Linked DNA regions of Tamandua tetradactyla. The protein of the gene in region 1 purifies or fractionates together with the protein of each later gene. This does not show direct contact. Links are inferred from orthologs where the notes say so. Each region holds a gene or a part of one and is shown on either strand. Other genes may lie near its edges. The genes, in order: SS18 and BCL7C.

Region 1 (8,163 bases):
TATGTTCTACAACTAATGGTGGTGCTGTGCATTGAAATTTATTGCTTTTTTGCATATATGTTACTTTTCACAAAAAAAGAAGGAAGAAAAGTCGATAGTGATGATAAAAAAATATTTAAGCCTTCTAGCTTCCTATATTCTGGAGCAGCTAGAAGGAAAAATCTGAGAGGATCATATGTAGCCCATGACAAACTCTGGGATCTGTTCTGTAACTGCTTGTTGAAGAGTGCTTTGAAATCTATTGCTTTTTTATTTTTTTGTATATATGTTATACTATATAATAAAAAGTGAAAAAAAATAGAAAAAAAGAAAAAATAATTAAGGCTACTGGAATGCAATTTAGCAGCTTCAGGTACTTCCCTTTAGCCACCCCCATACACCGTAAACTAAAAAAAAGAATATCTATATAATGAGTAAGAATAACTTCCAAGAAAACCTCTTAATTCTGTTTGAAATCTCTCAGCCAGTGAGACTTTATCCTGTCTCATTTTTCTCTTCTCCTGTTTGGTCAAGAAGGCTTTCTCATTCCCATGATGCCCAGTCCTGGCTCATCCTCAGGAGTCAGGTCTCATGTTGCCAGGAAGTTTATACCCCTGGGAGTCATGTCCCACGTGGTGGGGAGGACATTGAGTTCACTTGCCAAGTTGGTTAGAGAGAGAGGCTACATCTGAACAACGAAAGAGGCTCTTTGAGGGTGACCCTTAGGCATAATTATCAGTAAGCTTAGATGCTTTGCGAGAATGAGCTTCATAGGGGTGAGTCCCAAGATTGAGGACTCAGCCTATTGAATTGGTTGTCCCCACTGCTTGTGAGAATATCAGGAATTCCCCAGTTGGGGAGGTTGAATATTTTCTTCTTTCTCCCCAGTCCCAGAGGGGACTTTGCAAATACTTTTTTTATTCTCTGCCTAAATTACTCTCGGATATATTGGGGCATCACACTAACCTGTATAAACCAACAAGGTCTCATGCTGTTGAAGACTTCATGTAATTATGGTGTTCAAATCAAATGACCATGCAATTTAAATTAGATAACATGCTACCCAAAATATAAATTTTGCACCAAATAAACATCTCACCCTTTGTTCTCACACAGAGGTTGAAGTTTGAAAATATGGGCCATATCATCCTTTACCCAGTATTCTAAGTTACTTTAGTCCTATCCAGATCAGTTTCATTCATACCTCTAGATGAAGTCTGATCACTCTTTTCAGGTTTTAAACATTTGCTGAATGGTGTAATGCTGACTTTCATAGCTTCAGTGCTCTAACTCTGTGTCTGAAGTGTCACATAAGTACCTGAAGTTTCAGGGAATGACCTGGTTAAATACAAATAGCTCACTATCTCAAAATTTAGAAATACCAGTTACAACTCCTAAATATAGGTGACTGCTGCAAGAGCTTACAATCTTTACAACCTTTACAATAGGCCCTGTTTTAGTTTGCAAGAGCTCCCAGAATGCGGTATACCAGAAATGGAATGACTTTTACAGAGGGGAATTTATTAAGTTGCAAGCTTACAGTTCTAAGGCCATGAAAATGTCCAAATTAAGACAAGTCTATAAAAATGTCCAAACTATGGCACTCAGAGAGAGACACCTTGGTTCAAGAAGGTGGATGATGTTCAGGGTTTCTCTCTCAGCTAGAAGGGCACATGGAGATGTCTGGTAGTTTTCTCTCCAGACTTCTTCAGCCACTTCCTCAGGGATGCTTTCTTTATGCATCTCCAGAGGTTTCTGGCTGTGTGGACTCTATTGGTTCTTAAGTTTTTTCCAAAATGCTTCCCTCTTAAAGGCTTCCAGTAAGCACCCCACCTTGAATGCAGGGAGGTGCATCTGCATGGACACCATCTAATTAAAAGTTACCACTCATAATTGGTGGATTTTATCTCCATGGAAATCATCTAATCAAAAGCTACCACTCATAATTGGTGGATCACATCTCCATGGAAACAATAAAAAAGATCCCACCAGCAATACTGAATGGGGAATAAAGAACTTGGCTTTTCTAGGGTACACAACAGATTGAAAGCAGCACAGGCCCCAACCTGATAACCTAGGCTCTCGACTTTAATTCTTTGAGTTTATAAATTATATTTAATCCATATGTGTGAGGCATGATAATATTTGTCTTTTTCTTTCTGACATTTTATTCAACATACTGTCCTTAAGATTCATTCACCTAGTTGCATGCCTCACAACTTCATTTTCTTGCAGCTGCTTAGTAGTCCATAATATGTAAATACCACAGTCCCCCCTTCCATTTTTTCAGTTGTTGTACGCTTAGGCGACCTCCATCCATTGCAAATTGAACACTGCTGCCATAAACACTAGTGTGCTAGTGTCCCCACACTCAGTTCCTCTAGGTATATACCTAGCAACATGATTGCAAGATCATATAGTAACCCCACCCCTAGCCTCCTGTGGAACTACCTCACTGCCCTCTGGAGGGGATGCCCCTCTCAGCTTACCTATCAACAGTGAATGGGTACATCTCTTTCTCCAGATTTTCTCCAGCACTTATTTTTCTCTGTTCGTTTTTAAACAATTTTATTCGCACATCATACACTCCAACCTAAGCAAACAGACATACCTTCACCATCATAATCTATATGAAGACATTTCCTTTACTTCTGCATAGAAGGGGGCAATCATTTTAACATTCGTCTTCGCAAATTCTCTTGCCACCTTTTAGCTCTGCCAAACTCTGTGGTGCATACTGGGGTAAAGACCCCATGATTCTTCCAGACAGTTGTGAAAACTGATGTGGCCAACGGGTATTGGTCTTGAAATTGGGGGCCTTGTCCCTAAGAAGCAGATCTCTGGGCATGTCAACAGTGGTGATGCTGTAGGGTGAGGGTGAGGGGACGCTACTGTCAAAGCCACTAGCTGGCTGGCTCTGGTAGGGAGCTGAAAAATTGTTCATAATTACTAAGGTACTTTTGTCTTAATTTTAAAACACAGATATGAATGCCAGCTTTGGGATACCAGTGGTGGACAAGTGTTGGCTTTTGCTGCAAATTTAGTAAAAGGTTTTTACAATTTGATTTGTGTCTTAGTTTGCCACTGCTGCTATGACAAATACTGCACAATGGGCTGGCTTCAACAAGAAGCATTTATTGTCTCATCGTTTCAAAGACTAGCAGTCCAAAATTAAGATGTTGGCAAGGCCACGCTTTCTTCTTGCCAGTAGCTTTCTAATGATGGCAGTCCTCTGTCACGTGGCAATTTCTCTCCTCTCTGTCTTCTTCTGACTTCTCACCGATTGAGTCTGAATTTCCCTTCTTGATAAAGCCTCCAATCATACAGATTAACCACCCTGATTTAATTTGGCTGTACCTTAACTAACTATATCTCAAAACATTCTACTTGCAAATGGATTCATACCCACAGAAAAGCAGATTAAGATTTGAAGAGGTTTTTTGTAGAGAACATGATTCAATCTACAACAATGTGATTATATTGAATCCAAATATCAGAGTACTTTCTTCAAGGCTCAGGGCAATGAAAGACAATAACTAAATTAATAAAAATGATTACTATTAATAGGAGAATAAACTTGCTTCGTTTTATTCTTAGGATGACTTGAGTCTTTTAATCTTTTAGGTCTCATTTTAAGTATAATCCAGAGGACTTCCTTGCCTATCTCGTGTGTAATCTTTTAGGTCTCATTTTAAGTATAATCCAGAGGATTTCCTTGCCTATCTCGTGTGTGTTCCTCTTTCTCTCTCAGTCCCTCCTTACCTAGTCTTCCTTAAAATTTTACATGTATTTACTTGTTTCTGATCTGTCAACTCTATTAGAATATAAGCTCCTCAAGGGCGGAATTTATGTCCGGTTTATTCAGTTGTATTTTAGGAACCTAGCATAGGGCCTAGCACATAGGAACCCAAATATGTTAAATGAATGAAACTCATGACTTTTTAGTGAAAAGCATTTACTTGACACATTAATTAAAAAAATATTCATTCTATATTTTCTAGTATATTTTGTAAATAAACTGAGGGACTGATCTGATTTTTGAGCTTCATTAAATGTAGGATAACATTTTATATACAATTTCCTTTGCGTTACATGGAAGCGTAAATTACCGAGTAACTTGAAAGAAACAGGAAAACATTATCCACATTTGCTCGTGTTCCTTTTTTAAGTTGAAAACTTTTTTTTCCCCTCGTACTGATTTGAAGTCTGGCAGCTTGCACCTACTAGCCACTAAATATGTCATATCGCCGGAAAAGGAAACAGTGAGGGTGCCCAATTTCGAATTTTAATTCCAAAGATCCAAATCAGACGAAAGTGACCAACATTTCTTGTAAGGGTCTATTACAGAGGCACGCTCTCTAGGCCACCGTAGGCAAGTTGGCCGATTGCCTTTGAGTACTGGAACAGCCTTCCACTTTTTTGGGTCACGTTTACTTTCCAATTGCTAGGCACGACTTTACTTGCAAGGGAGACTGTGGACTCGGAGGTGCGCATTTGAGGCGTAGCCGAGCCGTTTAAACCAGCGAATCCGCTTTCACCCTAGTCCTTCCACCTCCGTCTCCTCTCGGCACACCCTCCACGGTTTGCACGAGCTCTCAGGTCTTGACCCTCCTCTCCCAGCGGCCCCCTCCCGCCCGGCACGAAGCAAGGGCGGGGCAACTAGGGGCGACCACTTCTTCTGAGGGGTGAACACGGAGTTGGAAAAACGGAACTAGGTCTAGCGCAGAGTCCCAGAACGCAGCTCGAAGGACGCCAGGCTTGTCGGAGAGGGAGGTAAGTTGCTCCGGCGCGAAGGGGGCGGGCCGATTCGGCCCGCGCGCATTTCCTGTGACAGGGGCTGCCCGGGCCTCTCCCTCTCCCGCGGCGGCGGGACCATTTCCTGAATCGCTGAAGTGGAGGGAGGACCGAGGCGCGGCCATACCATTAGCTTAGAGGGGCGGGGGGCGCGTATAAAGAAAGATTGAGGAACCGGGGTCGATCACGAATAACGAAGTTATACCAGGTCTCTGGATACCAATTCGTTTTTCAGTAACAAGAGTCCCATGGACCAGAGTGTATCTGTCGAGTCAAGCCGGCTGGCAAATAGTCCGGCTGTGGAGCATCCCCCCTCCCCTCCTTCATGAGGTGGTTTGGCCCCAGAGGCCGCGTCTGCCCCCCTTCCCACCCCAGTTTGCCGTTCATCCGTGGCGCTCTGGACTTGTTGGTAGTGGGGACGGCGGCAACATGTCTGTGGCGTTCGCAGCCCCGAGGCAGCGAGGCAAGGGAGAGATTACACCAGCTGCTATTCAGAAGGTGAAAGCTCGCGAGGGCGGGGCTTCCTGACCACCCTGCCGTAGGGACAACTTCGGGGACTGGGCCAGAGGCGGCGGGCCTGCCGAGAGGCAGTAGTCTGGGCACCGGAGCCTCCGGCCGAGCCCTAATGGGCGGCGACGAGGTCGGACCGGTAACCTCACGGAGTCCCGCGTGCGTTGGGGCTCTTTCCTACAGGCTCAAAAGCCGAATTACTTGTTGGTCGATTTCTCTAGGGATGAGGCGACGTTTGGGTGGCGGGCGCGTGCGCCCGGCTGCTGGACTCGAGCGCGGACCGGCTGTTTCTCGAGTCGGCGCCCCCTGCACCCCGGCGCGTCGCTCGCGAGTTACTTTGGCGTCTCCCCGCCCCGCGCGCCCCAGCCGCCCAGTGCAGACTCGACCTCTAGTCGCGGAGGGAAGGCTGAGGGCTGGTCGCTGCCCTCTGAGTTTGGCGGAGTTGGGGAGCTCTTAGGAGAAGTTGGGGGACGCTGTGGAGAACCTTAGTAGAGTGAGAGACGGCGAGGGAGGACCCACGGACTTCGGGGCTCTCCTCGGAATTCCCTTCTCCTTTCCTCGTCCGCCCCTTATTTACATCTGCAGGGAATACTGAGCGCCTGTTGTAAGGCGCTGAGGCTACAGTGGTGAGCCATGGTCCCTGCATTCCTGGAACTTAGTCTAGTGGTAGAGACGGTCAGGTAATAGGTACCGATTATAAATTGTGATAAATACAGAGTGCTGCGTCCGTGTTGGAGGGTTGCATTGTTAACTGCTGTATTGCTCCCTGTTGGGGATACAAAGGTTCTTCATTTTCCACTACTCCTTGTTGCGTACCAGCAAGGCAAATTTTAGTCCGGCTTTTAACGTTTAATAGTGCACCTTAGATATTTCAGTTTTGTTTTGTGCACTTGCAGCAAGGGTGAAAACAGGAGAAAAGTTAACTTTTAGTACCGCTCCAGGCATTGTATGCCCAATAGATGATGTTCATCGGCTTTTGTTTACTGTCAGGTTCTCTGTAGTGTGACGTTTGACATTTGCCCAACTGTTGCTTTATTTTATGAACGAATAGGCAGTGCCTAGAAATCAGTGCTTTCATATATTGTAGTGCACTGTTTGCAATGTCTGCACCCTAACAAACAATGCATTTTAAGGACAATTTTCTTCTTTTTTATGAGTATTCCATGATTCTTTTTAGAAATAACTGTACCTATTAGAAGGGCATTTAATATTTTATTTCCAGCAAGTGAATATGAGAAGAATATGAAAATGTGCAGAAAAATGTTAAAAAGTTCAGTGGCGGGGCGGGCCGCGGTGGCTCAGCGGGCAAAGTGCTTGCCTGCTATGCCGGAGGACCTCGGTTCGATTCCCGGCCCCAGCCCATGTAACAAAAACGGAGAAACAGAATACAATAAAACAAGAAAATGTTTAAAAATGTTTCCCTTTCTTCCTTCCTTCCTTCCTTCTATCCTTCCTTCCTTCTCTCTGTCTTTCCTTTAAAAAAAAAAAAAAAAAAAAAAAAAAAAAAAGTTCAGTGGCTTTTCCTTATTAGTTAAAAGTTACGTTGCTGTGTGGCAATTTGTTAAGTCTGTTAGATTGTAGTTCTGGATTTTTGGTTGAAGGTTTTGGCTACTGTAAAAATATTAGTTTGTATTTTGAATTGTAAAGTCAAAAGAATGATAATTTTTTTTCATTTAATTGAAGTGATTTTCACGTTCTGCAGATGGGGTAATTATAAAATTAAAGTATTAAGCATTTATTGATAAATAATGTATATGTTCCTATGCCAAGGAATATCGTGAAGGAAATTGAAATAAATTCTTTAAAGATAAAAAAAGTTACATTGCTAACTAAATTATTCACTACTTTCATTGAATCTTGGAATTCAATGGTAGGGCAAATTCACCCTTGATTTCATGGGTAAGCTCGCCCAAAAACTAACTGGCATTCTAGTTGCTATCCAGTTAGTACTCTTTCCTCAATGCCATTTTTTTGAAATGTATTATTTATCCCTTAAAACCATTCAATCACAGAATTGTTATAAATGAAAGAAGGACAAATCAATATACTTTTTTAAAAAAAATATTGGGACAATTTAATAATAAGGTTAGCACGTAAAAGTTTGCAACAAATATTATACATGCATAGAAATTATTGTATTTGATTATTTTTACCATATTTGGGGAAGTCACGAAACCTTACTGTATGAAACTTGGAAGCTGCATTATTAAGCTTCCTGGGCTAATGTTTCATTCTGGATGAGGATAGAATTTCCTTATTATTGCAAAGCCTTAGAATGATGCAAAGACAATTTTGCTCTTAACTAGCTAAATCTTCTACAATGGATAGGAGAGATAATTGAATGTTTGAAAACAAAAGAAACTCCGTATTTCCCCTTTTAAACTTCTAGTAATAATTCAGAGAGAGAATAATTGTAATAGAAGTCTTCAAAAAAAAGAAAAGCCCATTAATTAAAATATGGTTCCAAAGGTAAAAAATGTGTAAAATAAGATTTTCTGTGGTTAGTATATGCAGCAAGAAGACCCAAGTGGATTCAAGACCTGTACAGATCAAACAATTCTAGAAATCTGAAGGAAAAAAAATCAGTTATTGCCCATATAATTTGTGTATTGTCTTTTTCAGTAGATTTAAACAGTTTAGTACAAGATGAATTTTTATGTGAGAAAGAGCTGAATTCACCAATTTCTCTTTAAAATTGTGTTTAACTTACTAAAGTGAATTTTAAAATATGAGTTGTAGCAGGTAGCTACTCAACAAAAAATGTAATTTTAAGAGACTTTTAAAATTGTTACCATGCTTGCTTAGTGATTTTATAATGTGTGATGATTGCTTTGGGCTAACAGTATTTTAGTAGGGGATTCGCATTAAAATTCTTCAAAA
Region 2 (7,104 bases), on another chromosome or scaffold:
TTAGACTCTGAATATTCCTGCAAAGAGTTCGCAGATCATCTTATTCAGTCGCCTCCTTTTACAACTGGAGAGACCAAGGCCTATGGACTTGAGTCAATGAGATCACCCAGAGTCTAGAACCTGTGATCCAGACTTCTGCCTCTGATTTACAGAACCAAGGGAGCCTCCAAGCTGAGGAGGATGGCGGGGCATGTGGGGCACAGATAGGGGCCGCCTCCAATTTGCTGGGTGGCCAGAGACAAATTACTATTCTTCTTGGGACCCTGATTCCACAGTTGAGAAGCAAGGCTGAGAATGTGGGTGGTCAAGGACCCCTGGGCTCTTGCGCTTTCCAATGATACCCCCAGCATACCCCCTCCCCATGCCCACCCCCACTCACATACTCCTGGAGCAACTGTTCGGCATATTTGTTGAGGAGGCAGGCAAGGCTGTGTGTTTGTCGGATCTTGGCCTCCAGGTGAGGAAGGGGTGAGACTGAGGAGTCAGCCCGGGGCTCTTCTGGAGGGAAAGGCAGGGAGGAATGAGGGCAACCCGAACCCCTGTCCTCAGAGCTCTCAGGCTGGGCAGGGTCTGTCCTATACCAACTGAGGGAAAGTGACCTTAGTTAGTGACTGTTGGAATTTTACGTCCATTGAAGCACAGAACTTCAAATCAGTACGGGCTTTTAAGAAACAAGCCCTTCATTTTACAGATCGGGAAAGCTAAGTCCCATTCTCTCCTTGATCCCCCTATACCCCCTTCTTATGGGTACTGGGCGGCATCAAGGAATCGGCGGCTGGCTCTGCGCGACACACGCCAGAGGGTGGCACCCAACGGGAGAGAGGACTATTTTTCCCGAGATGCCTAGCGCGCCCAGATGCATGCTGGGGGATGTAGTCCTAGCCCGGCACCTCCCCCCCGCCCCCGCCTGAGTTTCCCACCGCCTGTACGGATACTGAGCTGCCTCGTCACTCACTATCTCTTGTGGCCCAAAGCCTTTCCCTCCCAACTCTATCACTCCCTTCGGCCTCCCAGCTCTGATTCTTTCCGAAGACCCAGAGGAAAGAACCCAGGCGCCAGTCCCTAGTCTGGACGCCAGACTTCCCCACAGAGGACTTGAACCGGTGGTCTGGCCTCTGAGCCCAAGTTCCCGAAACCGCAGCCCCAGGTTCCTATGAACTCTGGTGCCCGTTCCCTTCCGGCAGCTCACCCGCTGGTTACCAGACACCGGAGCCCCGCGCTCCTCCTCCCAGGTCGCTGCCCTCCCAGCCTCGGGGGAGGCGGGGACCCTGACCCCGGCTCCAACCCTTCTGGCCCCTGCTCCCCTCGGGAACCCGGCGTCAGGCCACTCAGCCCCTTACCCAGACTTCCCTCCCTCCGGCTCATGTTGGCCCCAGGATGATCCCGGTTCCCTCCACGCCCCCCTTCCGAGGTGAGGTGGGGGGAGAAGGGGTTAAGGGGTAGGGGCGTGGTTCGGGCGCAGCCAATCAGGGCCCAGACCCCAAACCTTCCCCCCCACCCCCTTCCAGGCAGGATTCTTTGGCCCTGAGCTCAGATCTTAGACTTTCCGAGAAGGGGCCCCAAGAGGGATGCCTGCTTGTTGGCACGGTGGGTTCCGGACCCAGACCGAGACCTGAGAGGACACAGACTGGGACCTGCGCCCCTCTGGAGGGAGAAGGCTAGAGCGCGACCTGGGACAGGGCCTGGGGCTGGGGTTGCTTTCTGGGGAAAGCTTGGGGGAAAGGAGAGGGAGGGTGCTGGGCTGGCAGGACAAGAATGTGCAGGCCTTCTCTCTTAGGGCAAAGTTGAGGTTGGGTGGCAGTGTGAGGACACTGGGTGGAGCGAAGGAGGCCATGCGGTGGGAACCCTAGGGCTTGGGGCACACATGCCCAGACATACTACTTTTGCCCTATCTTAAATGTGTTCCACCTGGTCTGCAAAACCTTATTGTCATGCTGATAACCAGACTCCCCCTCCCTCAAACACATTCTGGTTGTCACACCTACCTGGAGGGAGATGATACCCCATCTCATCTCTCCTCACTAGGCCCAGAGACAGAACTCCACCGACACATACACATGCATCTACTTAAGGGTTAATGCATACAGCCACTCATTCTTCCACAGGAACAAACCTTAGAGGCAAGTACAAATTCACCAAGCTGGTGCAAACAAACCCTGAAAGGTCTGCACACACTGACCTATCTTCATGATGATTACCAAAGACCTACTCTGTCCAGGGCCCTGGGACTCAGAGATGATCCATACCAGTTCTCTGTGCCGTGACCAAGGACAATGACAATAGCTGGCAATGGGGTTATTGTAAACAAAGCCTGTGTTTCTGTGAGGATGTTAATATAATCAGACAGTGGCCAGGATGAAGGAAGAAAGGAATTAACTGGCAGAGGGTACAACAGGTGCAACTGAGGCCAATGCTTGGTAGCAACCTCAGGCACCCACTTATTCATAGCTCATGTTTATTGAGTGTTTACTATGTGCTATACGTGCATTAACTTATTTATTGCTCATAACCTCATAAAGTAGGTAATATTATCACCCCATTCTATAGATGAGAAATAAAGGTATAGAAAGATGCATGGCTTATCCAGCATTTCACCTCAGATCAGCAATTCACCTCAGCAATCTGCCTCCAGAGATGCTTTCCTAACAACCTTACTATTCCTTCATCCTTCTGGATACAGCAACACCAGAACTCAGATCCAACAGCCACGACCTGGAAACACACACACACACACACAAAACACAAATTTAGACATGGTCATACTTCCTGACAAATAACTTCAAGTAACACCAACAGACACACTCATTTTTTTTTAGGTAAACTTTTCATGGAAGTATAATATACAGGCAGAAAACTGCACATATCCATACAGTTCAATGGATTTTCGCAAAGTAAACACGCCCAGGGAACCAGCATCAGATGGAGAAACAGAACATGACCAGCTTCCAGAAACCTCCCACTTAAGCCCTCCCAGACAACATCCCCCAATTATCCTGTTTTCTCACCCCATTAATATACCTTTGTGGATTTTTGAACAGAACCATACAGCTTGTACTGTGTCTGGTTTCTTTCACTCAAGATTTCCTTCATGGGACTTGTTTCCATTGTTGGGTGCAACAGGACATCAATTACGTTGTTGCTGTATGACATGGTATGAAGAGGATACTTTTTTTTTTCACTCATTCTCCCGGTGATGGACGTTTGGGCTGTTTCCAGTTTGGCATTATTATGAACTGTACTATGAACGTTCCAGTACGCGTCTCTGGGTGCTCATACCAAGGCATTTCCTTTTGGAAGCTGATAACCTAGGGAGTTGAACCCCTGGATCACAGATAGGGTTGGCATCTGTTCAGCTTCACCAGAAACTGTCAGTTTTCTAAGCGGCTCTACCAAATGACACTGTGCACCCTCCCGCCCCCCACTCCAGAAATATAAGAGAGTTCCAGGTGCTCTACTTCCTCGCCTACACTTGCTAAGGTCTGTCATTCTCATTTTAGTCATTCTGGTGGGTGGCGCCGTAGTTGGCACTCAGTAACTTGGGTAGCGAGCGTGGTAGATTCCTTCAGGCTGGCCGCACACATGCACACAACACAGCGTGTTCAGGGACGCCACGCGCAGCGGACGTACACCGGGCCACGGACACTCGCGCGCACCCCGGCACCCACGTGGCCTGAACGCACCGCCTCAGCCCGGCCGCGCGCTTCCAGGCGCCGACTCCCCAACTCTCCCTCTCCGCAGCGGGCAGGGGGCGCTGCGCGTCCGGGCGTCCCGAGGGGGCGGGCCCGGGGCGGGGCGGGGCGGGCCGGGCTTCCAGGCCTCCAGTGTGGCCGCCCGCGCCACCGGGCCGCTCCGGGGCCGGGGCGGGGCGCGGCGGCAGGAAGCGGGGCGGGGACTCGCGGAGGCGTTGGGGAGCGAGGGAGGGCGCGGCCAACTCCCGGAGGGACGGCAGGCGGAGACAGCGGCTCCCCGGCCTGGCGCCGAGCCTGAGCCCGCCAGACGGGAGGCGGCTCCGCCGCGGGCCCGGGCCGGGCCTCAGCCCTGCCAGCATGGCCGGCCGGACCGTGCGGGCCGAGACCCGGAGCCGGGCCAAGGATGACATCAAGAAGGTGATGGCGACCATTGAGAAGGTCCGGAGATGGTGAGCGCTGCAGCGGGGCCGGGAACGGGACATGGCGGGGCCTCCGCCCCATTATGTGTCTACACTCGCATCGCCAGCTGTGGCCTCCAGGTGGTAGGCGTGTCCCCCGGCTGTGCCCGGATCGACAGGGCTCTGTTGCTCTTCCCCTGATAGTAACCAGCCGGCCTCGGCTGAATGGGCCTTCGTTTGTGCCCCGCCCCCTAAAACTGTTACACCTCTTTCCCCCAACATGCCCCAGTATCTTTATTGCCCCATTCCCAGCTAAGCTCACAGCTGTACCCCTACATATGCCCCAAGGGTCTGCAGGGCCATAGTCACAGGCCATACCCTTTCTGTGCACCCCCATCTATGTTCTGGGGTCTACAGGGCTCTTTTTCTCCCCCAAACTATGCCCCATTAGCAAAGCTGTCTCTCCCCAATCTCTGCAGGTACCCCCAGATCTTGGGGGTCTCAACCCCTAGGCCTCTCTGACCCAGTTACTCCCACCCCCCCAACAGGGAGAAGCGCTGGGTGACTGTGGGTGACACTTCCCTTCGTATCTTCAAGTGGGTGCCAGTGGTGGACCCCCAGGAGGAGGTGAGCAAGCCCCCAGCCCCTGCATCTGTGCAACCTCAGACAAGGCCCTCCCCATCCTGGCCTCGACCTCCAGTTCTCGCTCTGAGACCTCAAATGTAGCAGCCCAGACAGATGGTAATGATTATTAGGCAGACCCCAGCCTTCCCCCACCCCCCCAATACCTTTTTTCCTGCTCCAGACATCCACATTCAGGATCTAACCCAGTGGACACAACCTCTTTCACCTAAGGCAGAGCCTTTTGCTTCTCTGTGCCTCAGTTTCTTTACTGTTCAGTGGGAGGTTTGCAAATTAGAAAGCCTCTTGGGGCTCTGACCCTTACTCCTCTAACCCCCAGGAGCGACGCCGGGCAGGTGGCGGGGCGGAGAGATCCCGTGGCAGGGAGCGGCGGGGCAGGGGTGCCAGTCCCCGAGGGGGTGGCCCTCTCATCCTGCTTGATCTCAATGGTATGTGGGGATTCTGGGACTGGGGGGTCAGGGGGAATTGTGGGGATTGGGTGAAGGGACTGGGGGCCTCGGGCCCAACCTTCCTGGCTTCTTGATCTCACAGATGAGAACAGCAACCAGAGTTTCCATTCAGAAGGCTCCCTGCAAAAGGGCACAGAGCCAAGCCCTGGTGGCACTCCCCAGCCCAGCCGCCCAGCGTCACCTGCTGGACCCCCGGAAGGGGTTCCTGAAGAGACTCAGCCCCCACGGCTGGGCCAGGAGAGAGGTAGGACCAGGTGCTTCTCAGGGATCCCTCCTCTGGGTCCTGTCCTCTTCAAAACAGAACTCACCCATGCTTACTCCCTCTCCTGTGTGGCCTCTGGAAGGCCTTCCCTGACTCCTGTGGAAAGTCAGCACCTACCTCTAGCTACTGTCCATTTCATTCCTCTGGCTTCTTAGGATTTGTAGGTCTCTTATCACCACGTGAACTTTTCACATAAATTTAATTTTTTATTACTTTAATGCCCTTCTCCCCCACTCCACCTGTCAGCTTCATGAAGCTTGGGTCCATAACGATCTTGTTCACTACTACAGCTATGGACCACCACGTGGCACACAGCATTTGCTCAATAAATATTTGTTGAGTGATTAAATAATAGCAATAATCATGAGTAATTAATAATGAAGATGAAGATAATAGTTAACATTTACTGAGCTCCTATTATGTGCCAGACACCATTCTAAGCACTTTACCCCATATTCATGATGTAGATATGCCCACTCATAGATGAGGAAACTTAGGTCCAGATGAGTGAAGTAAGTTGCCCAACCTCATACAGCCATGGCACCAGTGTCTTGGGCATGGGTCCTCCTCATCCCCTCACTCATCCAGTCAATCCTGTCTGGTCAGTACCACCTCCCAGACATCCCTGCTCTCCTCTCCTCCACAGTCCTTGCCTGGCCCTGGCCTTCCATCTCTTACTCACTCTGGCTCTTGCCTCCACATTGATCTCCTCTCCTCTGCCCTGGTCTCCTCTCTTCCAGTCACCTCAAAAGGCTGCCAGGAGAGGTGCAAGGGTAGTTCAGTTGTAGAATTCTCGCCTGCCATATGGGAGACCTGGGTTCTATTCCTGGCCCATGCACTTCCCCAAAACAAAACAAACAAACAAACAAAACAAAACACAAAAATTCATCAAATGGTGCTGCAGTAATGGGCTACTCATGTGGAAAAAAGAATTTAATGTGACCCCTGCCATACAGCATACAAAAAAAAAAAGCTATCAGGGCAACGTTTTCTAACCCACAGGTTTGTTGCAGTGGTTTCCCTGCTTCAAAGCCTTCAATGGCTCCCTGTGGCCTTTGATGCCTCAGCTTGGCATTTAGGGCTCTATATGAACTACCCCTGCTGACCTCATGGTCTTCCTCTGAGAACTCTGGGCCTGGGCCTGTGTGTGGATTCTGCCTACTTCGTTGCACTGAGGGCGCTACCTGTATTCTCTCATTGAATCTTCACAACAACTTCATGTAGTAACTGTGTTATCATCCCCATTTTCTGGATGGGCAAACTGAGGCCCCGAGAAATGAAGTAGTTGCCCATGAGTCAGGAATTGAACCTAGGCAGTTTAACCCCAGAATCTGCTTGCTAAGCATGTGTTCCCTCTGTCTAAAACGTGTCCCACCTTTCCACTGGCCAGATCAAATCCTTCTCACCCTTATCATCCCACACAAATGCTCCTTCCTCTGTGCTGCTTCCTGGACTGCAGGTTCACAGCTCCTTCCTCAGTGCTCCATGGCCCTCCGGCTCAAGTGACTGGCCCGTTTGTGTTTGTTTTCCCCAACTGGTCTGTGCTCCTGGCACAGAGTGGTTGATCAAGGAATGCCTGTTAACTTGACATTCCAGATCCTGGGGGCATAACTGCGGGTGGCACCGATGAACCCCCGATGCTGACCAAGGAAGAGCCTGTTCCA

Evidence for each region.
Region 2: the proteins of SS18 (region 1) and BCL7C purify together in Homo sapiens (affinity purification with mass spectrometry; 3 studies listed by BioGRID and IntAct, counting the BioPlex papers as one, with this or other methods). This does not show direct contact. The link is inferred for Tamandua tetradactyla from reciprocal best matches to the Homo sapiens genes SS18 and BCL7C.

The regions. Positions count from the first base shown.
Region 1 is NC_135344.1:57,044,206-57,052,368, forward strand, and holds the start of SS18 (protein SSXT), read left to right. Parts: upstream 1-5,122; 5' UTR 5,123-5,202; coding exon 5,203-5,271; intron 5,272-8,163. UniProt on the Homo sapiens protein: Appears to function synergistically with RBM14 as a transcriptional coactivator. Isoform 1 and isoform 2 function in nuclear receptor coactivation. Isoform 1 and isoform 2 function in general transcriptional coactivation.
Region 2 is NC_135349.1:23,599,999-23,607,102, forward strand, and holds the start of BCL7C (B-cell CLL/lymphoma 7 protein family member C), read left to right. Parts: upstream 1-3,983; 5' UTR 3,984-4,046; coding exon 4,047-4,138; intron 4,139-4,635; coding exon 4,636-4,714; intron 4,715-5,048; coding exon 5,049-5,157; intron 5,158-5,260; coding exon 5,261-5,422; intron 5,423-7,036; coding exon 7,037-7,104. Other genes in the region: CTF1 (cardiotrophin-1), read right to left, coding at 380-498, 1,341-1,365. UniProt on the Homo sapiens protein: May play an anti-apoptotic role.